Mus musculus: one gene and its partner. The main gene of each other region encodes a partner of the protein of the gene in region 2 in a complex. Links are inferred from orthologs where the notes say so. Each region holds a gene or a part of one and is shown on either strand. Other genes may lie near its edges.

Region 1 (3,880 bases), on a different chromosome or scaffold from region 2:
AAACATCATTTTTGGGGAAAGTGCAAAAACGCGATTTTGATTTCATTTCAACAATGACATTTACTTTGCTAACAGTTTAAGAATTAGAGGTTAACAGGTCTACTGTCAGTACAAAATGGCAAGCCAGAAAATTTCCATTTCCTCACATGTCCTCAGCAAGCATAAGGGGAACAGTTCAGGAGAGGTGGGGGACAGGGTGGTACTTAAATCATTTATCAAAAGTCTTTTTATTGACAAAATAGAATACTTATATTTGTTCTTACAGGGTAGCCTCTAAACTTTTTACAAGTAATGTACACATTGTATATCTTTGGATATATACATATTTTACACTTTTTTTTTACAACCTAACAAATAATTATATAAATACATCCTTTAATGTAAGAAACCCGTATTTACTTGGGGTGTATAATTAAGACATTTCTTGTTTATTTAAGGCATCTGCCTGGTCATTAAGAATACCCAAACTGTGCAGTCCCACAAGGTAGCAGTTGTCCCTCCTCTAGGGTGTATGAGGGCATGAATTGATGCAGATGAAGTCGAGGGTGAAGCAGGACCTTGGATGAAGTCTGCGGTGTAGTGTAGTGTACCCTCAAGACTCATCCAGGGTATCCAGGAGGGTTCCAACTATCCTAACCCACTGAAACCATTGTCTGGGGTAAGTGCTGGGGCATCAGAGAGGAGGGGCTAAGTCTGGGAGGCTTCAATGCCAGGTACTTTGTTCTAAGGGAGTCATTTAAGTCCCCGCTGCTAATGGATACCATTAAGAGTTCATTATCATGCTAATAGCAGTCAACACTGGGAAGGGGTGGGAACCCTGGCCGGTCTGGGGTCCCTTCGCCGCCCACGGGTTCTCCATCCCCCCACTCCTCTCCGCCCCTTCTGGGCATCCACGTAGGGTTCAGACCTGGGACAATGGCATTTGCTTAGGGTAAGATACAGAGCTGGCCGTGCCAGACCGCCACGTCAGGCCGGTACTGACGTCGCTGTAGAGGGATCCCCCGCCTCCGCCGTGTCCCCCACCTCCGCCGGGCCCGGGTCCACTGCCCCCAGGGCCGCTGCCTCCAGCGCCCGCGCCTACTGCAGCGCCCTTGCTGGCCCAGCAGCACCTAGTGCACAACGCGCGCCAGGACTCCAGAGTCTTGCCGGACCAGACCCACACGCCCGATGTGATGCCCACTACTAGGCACATGAAGTACTTGAGCATGAAGACCGCGTAATCGGGCCTGCGAGCCTGGTCCGGTTGCAGGTCCCGAAGGCATGGGCAGTTGTGCGTGGCCTCCCAGCGCGGTCGGTTGTGCTGCTCATAGAAAAGGCAGGCGACAACGACGGCAGCGGGCACCGTGTAGAGCACGGTGAAGAGGCCCAAGCGGATCATGAGTTTTTCTAGCTTGTGTGTCTTAGTTGGGCCTCCTTGCTGCTTGATGACTGAACGGATTCGGAACAGCGACACGAAGCCAGCTAACAGAAACATAGTCCCAATGAAGAGGTAGATAACCAGTGGCGCCAGCACAAAGCCGCGTAGGTTGTCAAGGCTCTGGTTGCCCACGTAGCAGATGCCCGCCACCGGGTCGCCGTCTACGGAGCTGAGCGCCAGCACCGCGATGGACTTGACGCTGGGCACAAGCCACGCGGCCAGGTGGAAGTACTGCGAGTAGCCTGCTATGGCCTCATTACCCCACTTCATGCCAGCTGCCAAGAACCACGTGAGCGACAGGATTACCCACCAGATGGAGCTGGCCATGCCAAAAAAGTAGACAAGGAGAAAGACCACCGTGCACAGCGCGGGGCCAGTGGTTTCATAGCGAACATGCTGCTCGACTGCACCCAGCTCCTCGTACTCGCCGCGCGCGCCCGGGCTGCTCGCCCCCGCTCCCGCTGCCCCTGCGCCAGCCGCCGCCGCGCCGCCCGCACCCCCAGCTCCGCCAGCACCCGGAGCGCCGCCGCTGCAGGCCACTTTCTCATGTCCTGCCACCAGGCGCACCAGGTACCCGACAGACACGAAGAGGTAACAGGCGGAGAGGAATATGATGGGCCGTTCCGGGTACTTAAAGCGCTCCATATCGATGAGGAAGGTAGAGACAGTGGCGAAGGTGGAGACGAAGCAGAGCACCGACCACAGGCCGATCCAGAAGACGGTGAAGGCGCGCTCATCCTGGCTAAAGAAGGGGTTGTGGCAGGGCAGCGCACAGTTGGCGATCTGGCCGGTCTTGACGCGGTTGTAGAGCGGGTGGCGTTCGCTGGACACGCTCACCATGGGCGCGCGGCACTGGCACCCCGGCTCGCAGGGAGCAGCGCCGCCACCAGGGGGCCTCGCCTTCCCGCCGCGCGAAGGGGGCGCAGCCGCCGCGTCCCCGCTGCCCCTACTGCTGCCGCCACGATGTGGGGGCCTGGCCCCTGGCGGGCGGCTGTGGCCGCTGCCAGAGGGCGGCTGCTCGCCGGGAGGAGGCGGCGGAGGCAGGCGGCGCGGTGGGCTGGGCGCGGCCGTGGTGAGGTCGGTGCGGTTGTAGTCCATGCACAGAGTGTCCGGGTTGCCCTGCTCCGGCAACCGATCGCAGCGCATGCGGTCAGGCCAAGCAAAGCCGTACTGGCGCATGAGCGGCGCGCAGCCGGCCTTGGCGCGTTCACACACAGAGCGACAAGGCGGCAGAGGCTTCTTGTAGTCCTCCAGGCAGATGGGCGTGTACATGCTACACAGAAAGAACTTGAGGTCCGGGGAGCACTGTATCTCCACCAGCGGCCAAAACTGGTGCACCTCTAGGCCCGCCTCATCTTGCGTGTCGTGGTTGAACTGGTTGGGCATGTAAGTGTAGTTGTAACCGATGCCTTTGCACAACGGCACCGTGATCTCTTGGCACGCCAGCTCCTTGGCCGAAGCCGCGGCAGCGCCGCTAGAGCGCTGTAGCACCGCCAAGGCGGCTAGGAGCGAGGTCACTTCCAACAGGTAACCCCACTCCATGCTGCGCGCTGGGACCCCAAGTCCTCCTTCTCTAGGCGGCGCGCAGGAGGGCTCTGCAGTGAGGAATCTGAGAAAAGGGAGAGCGGGTCGTGTCCCACTTTTCTCTGCAGAGGAGAATAGCAACAGTCTATCTCCTTTTCAGGCAGCAGGGTTGGAAACCTAGGCTGGAGTCGTCCGGCCCTCCCCCACGCCTCTCCTGGGGTGACCGCCAACGCGCCACAATTCCACAGGGTCTGTCCCGCGCCCCCTGAGTCGCACTCAGTCCTCCCGGAGCGGAGTGGTGGCCCCCGGGCTCATCCTCCCGAGTTCGTGTAGGACCTTCTGCACGCTCAGACACTTCGTGTGGCTCCCAGCAGCGAAGACTCGGAGGACGACGCGGCTCAAGTTTCCTTTCTGGCCTCAGTCAAGATGGCTGTGTCTGGCCTCTAGACTCTCGGGTCAGACCTAGAGGCCCCTCTTCGGGCCCGGAGGGTTCATGTCCGTTCCAGGCCGCGCCGCCACTGCCAGAGTTCCGGGCCCTCCTCTAGTCAGGCCGCAGCCTTCTCACTCCTGCGTCGGTCCTCTTGTATCTGCCGCCACCAAAAGTCCACGCCGCGTTCTGGCCACAGTCGGGCGGGGTGCAGGACGTGCTTTCTTGCTAGATCGACAAACAAATCCAGAGCAAAAGACAGAGAGGACACCTGAGCACCTTGGTCCCAGCCTCCGCCTCCTCCGCAGGAGCTGCGCCCTTCGCCCAACTTCCCGGCTTTAGTCTGCTAGCGCCTCCCGGCCGGCTCATGAATATTTATACAGCCTGCACTTGGTCTCCTCCCTCTTCTGGGTTCACCAATCCCTGCGCAACAGGGCGGAGTATCCGCGTTCTCAAGGCTCAGCCTTCCTTAAGGAAGTCCGTACTTTTGGGTCTGCTTTCCTAGCTTTGGG
Region 2 (3,905 bases):
CACTTCCCCGGGTTGACCTTTAATTTCCATATGCACATGACGACTCCTGAGGAAAACCACTGAAGGCTGACCTCTGACCTTTACATGCACAGGCATGCACACATATGAACATACAAAAAGGAAAAAAAAAAAACCCAAACCATGTAACAACAGCTCCAGAATTCCCAGGCCAGATCAAAGGCCATGACACACAACTGTCCTCAAAGCTCTGCCACCACTACCCCAGACCTGGGCTGCATGTACCAAATGCTTCCCACCGAACGATATAAGAGAAGAGAGGACTCAGCACAGAGAGGCTATGTAAGCCTCCCAAAGACAAACAGCAACTGGACATGAAAACCCTATAGAGCTGGGTGGTGGTAGCCCATGCCTTTAATCCATCACTCAGGAAGCACAGGCAGGTGGATCTTTGTGTTGGAGGCCAGCCTGGTCTACAAAGGGAGTTCCAAGACAACTAGAGCTACACAGAGAAACTATGCCTCAAAAACAAAACAAAACACCTTGGTCAGATGATCACCTCCTGCTCCAACCCTGGGGCACCCACTTGCAAAGCAGGTGACAGAGTCCTCACCTGGCTGTACCCCACCCCCACACCCCTGTGCAAATTCTGCTAGATGCCTGAGTAATGACACTGTGTAGTCAAAATAAAAAGGGTTCCAACTATGTTGGGGCCAGGAGGTGGCTTTCCCCAGAGAAGCTTAGGACAAACAGGTTGCCTGGGTAATTTCTTGCACAGAGGGGACTCTGCTCAGCATTTAACCCAATATAACCCAACATGTGCTGGCTGGGCCCTCCCAGGGGTAGACAGCCCACAACTGCAGGAACCTCCTCCAGGGGGCCAGACAGGCTAGGCTGGTCCAGGGACAAGTGAGTGCTTTAGGCGGTGAGAAGGAAAGCCTAGGGCTTCCAGAATGGGGAATTCAGGGACCACTAGAACAAAGGCTTTTCTGTGGGCTCACAGCTTCAATTTGCAACAGGAAGCAATCAGGAAAAATAATTAGCTGCCCACTCACTCCCTTCTCTCCAGACTCCCAAAGCAAGAATCTCAGACAGACATTTGGGGGTCGCACAGCCAAAAACACTCAAATAAGAGCTTCAGGAAGATTCTTCTCTTTGCTTCCATTTTAGGCCTGGACTACCCCATCAGCTGGTACTCCTGGGGCCTGGCTTCCTAATGTTAAAATAATCGACTCTATTTTTGCCGCACACACCACCAAACTATAAAGATGTTCAATTTGGGATACCAGATGACAGGCTAGGGGATCCCAGAGTAATGTCAATCCTACCTAGGACAGGAAAGTCGGCTTACAAACCCCACCTTTAAAACAAATAGCTGCCCCATACCCCTTCTGCAGTCACGACCCAGGCATTTCCGGGAAGAGTAGAACTGGCCTGGACTTCCCACAGCCTGTCACAGTTTTGTCTTCGCCTTGTTTTGCTAACACCAGAGATGGCCTGAAAATGTAAACATGATCCCGAGGGAGACAAATTTAGGGGGAGACTCCCCAAGAGCCCTCTGGCTGAGCTTGAGAGCTCCAAGACTGGATGAAGCCAGCTCCCCTCGACCCCTCCCCCCAAACATAGGTGGAAGAGACTGCAGCCCAGGGAATCTGAGCACAGAGCCAGGCCCAGCCACCTCCCTCAAGTGTCTACCCTGGAAATACACAGGGGGACAGCTGTTCGCCTTAATAAGGCCCAGACAAAGGGACCTGAGGTTGTCCCCTACCCCGCCCCAAACTGCCATCACCACCACCCGGGAGTTCAAGAGTATCTGCCGGACCCTTGGACAGCCACACTCCAGAAAAACAAAACACAAACACCCGAAAACAATGATTTAGGTGGCAAGAGCCTTGCTTTAAAAACCACATGGCAATCTCCGAATTAAAAGAACATGTGTAGCGTTTCCAACTGCTTCGTTTCTCGAGAGTCCTCCTGACCTCAGCTCCACCCCTCAGGACACACCAAAAAAAAGTTAGAAAGTTCCCGAGCGGGCCACTTCCCTAAAGGTGGGTCCAACTGAGGCAGAACCATACCTCCCCACACCAAGGCACCCACGCAACCGATCTCGGGGCTGGGCACTGGTCAGCGGGGCTGGGTGCCTGGCCACCGCTTGGGGGCCCGAGCGGTCAGATGGGTCACTGGGGTCACGGGGACACCTGGCAGGTGTCAGTCGGTTTGGAAGGCTGACAGCCCACGCAGGTCAAAGCGACAGCAGCCCAGGGCCAGGCCGCCCCGCGCAGGGCTCTCCGAACTTCCTAGCTAGCAACTTCTGGCACTTCCCAGGGCTCGGTAGGCCGGCCGCCGCAAGCAGGCTCGCGAAAAGTTTTCCCAGTAGTTCGCGATAGGCCAGGCCTGTCCCGGGCCATCGCGATGCCCGTGGGCGCACTCCTGAGCGCGCCCGGCGTCCCGAGCCTTGGGCAGGTGAGGGCCCGCCCGCGCCGCACCTGGCGGGCTCGGTCCCCAGGGAGGGGCCCCGGCGGGAGAGACAAAGGGCCCGCGCGAGGTCCCCCGGCGCGTGGTCCCCCGGAGCGCGCTCCAACTCGTCCGCAACTTGCAAAGTGGCTGCTTGCGGCCCCGGCCATTGTCCCCCGCGCCCACCTTACCCGCGGCGGGGACCAAGCTGCAGTACAGCACCAGCAGCAGCAGCGGCGGCGGCGGCGGCGGAGGGGCCCGGGTCGGCGCCGTTTCCATGTCGTCCGGCGGCCGGGAGCGCCGCGCGCTCACTCGGGCTCCATGGCGCGCGCGGCGGCGGTGGATCCTCGCGGCTCCCGGCGCCTCTTGCTCCCGCCTCGGGCGCCGCGGCCCAAGACGACGCGGGAGGAGGGAGCGGAAGCCGAGCCGGTCTCCGCCCCCCGCGCCGCCCGCGCCCCCCGCCAAGCCGCGCCCTCCTGCGGGCGCCCGGGAGCCGGGCAGGCGGGTCTCTCCGGGCCCGCGACAGGAGAGGCCGGGCAAGCAGGTGGGTCACCTGCCAAGTCTCTGTACTGACAGGTGAGGAAACTGAGGCACGTGGAAGCATGACCCACACAGTCAGGAGGCCTCAGGGCTGGAAGCCAAAGGTCTCCGAAGCCAGCTTTGGGCTCTTTCACCACAACTGTAGCCACCTGGCCCAGAGACATACCGCCCCACTTGGGATGCACGCGGGAACAGGCGCAAAAGCGGATACTGCTGGAGGAACTGGGGGCTTTTACTTTTAGATTTACTTTTTGTTGTATGTGTATGAGTGTTTGCACGCATGTATGTGCACCACATGCGGGAAGGAAACCAGAATAGGGTGTGGGGGTCCCCTGGGACTGGAGTTAGAGGTGTGAGCCACCAGGTGACTGCAGGGAACCAAACCCAGGTCTCTAAAAGAGCAGTAAGTGCTTCTAACTGCTGAGCCTTCTCTCTCCGGCAGTGCTTTCTAGAACCTCACACCTTGGGCAGGCAGGTGTAGGTGAAATCATTTCATGTCCTTAGAAAGTAAGCTAATGGCAGTGTCCACCTTGCAAGGTAGAGAGGAAGGACAGAAGCTGAGGTGGTCAGGAGGGTGCCTCTGCCCTCCTGTGGTTTATGCTAGGAAGAGACAAAAATAAGAGCCCAAACAAAGGAGTGAGTAGCCGGGAAAGTGACATGGCGCTCAAGTGTGTATGACTTTACTTATAAGTCTGACATGGTGTCCAGCCTCGGGAGATTGAGGCAGGAGGCTTGCCATGAGTTTGAGGCCAGCCTGGGCTACCTGCGAGACCCTGTTTAAAAAGAGTTGATAGAGCCCTTGGTTCCCTAGTGTGCACAGCTCTCCCAGCGCTGCATAAACCGGACCTGATAAACAGAAGGAGCAAAAGGCAGGTCAAGGCTGGCCAGCAAGATGGCTCCCGTTGACCTAAGTTCAACCCTAGGATCGCAGAAGAAAAGAGAACTGACTCCCC

Evidence for each region.
Region 1: Lrp5 (region 2) and Fzd8 share a complex: the UniProt entries of both Homo sapiens proteins name them as parts of the wnt-signaling complex. The link is inferred for Mus musculus from reciprocal best matches to the Homo sapiens genes LRP5 and FZD8.

The regions. Positions count from the first base shown.
Region 1 is NC_000084.6:9,211,999-9,215,878, reverse strand, and holds the start of Fzd8 (frizzled-8 precursor), read right to left. Parts: upstream 3,024-3,880; 5' UTR 2,960-3,023; coding exon 902-2,959; 3' UTR 1-901. UniProt on the Homo sapiens protein: Receptor for Wnt proteins. Component of the Wnt-Fzd-LRP5-LRP6 complex that triggers beta-catenin signaling through inducing aggregation of receptor-ligand complexes into ribosome-sized signalosomes.
Region 2 is NC_000085.6:3,683,752-3,687,656, forward strand, and holds the start of Lrp5 (low-density lipoprotein receptor-related protein 5 precursor), read right to left. Parts: upstream 2,814-3,905; 5' UTR 2,692-2,813; coding exon 2,604-2,691; intron 1-2,603. UniProt on the Homo sapiens protein: Acts as a coreceptor with members of the frizzled family of seven-transmembrane spanning receptors to transduce signal by Wnt proteins.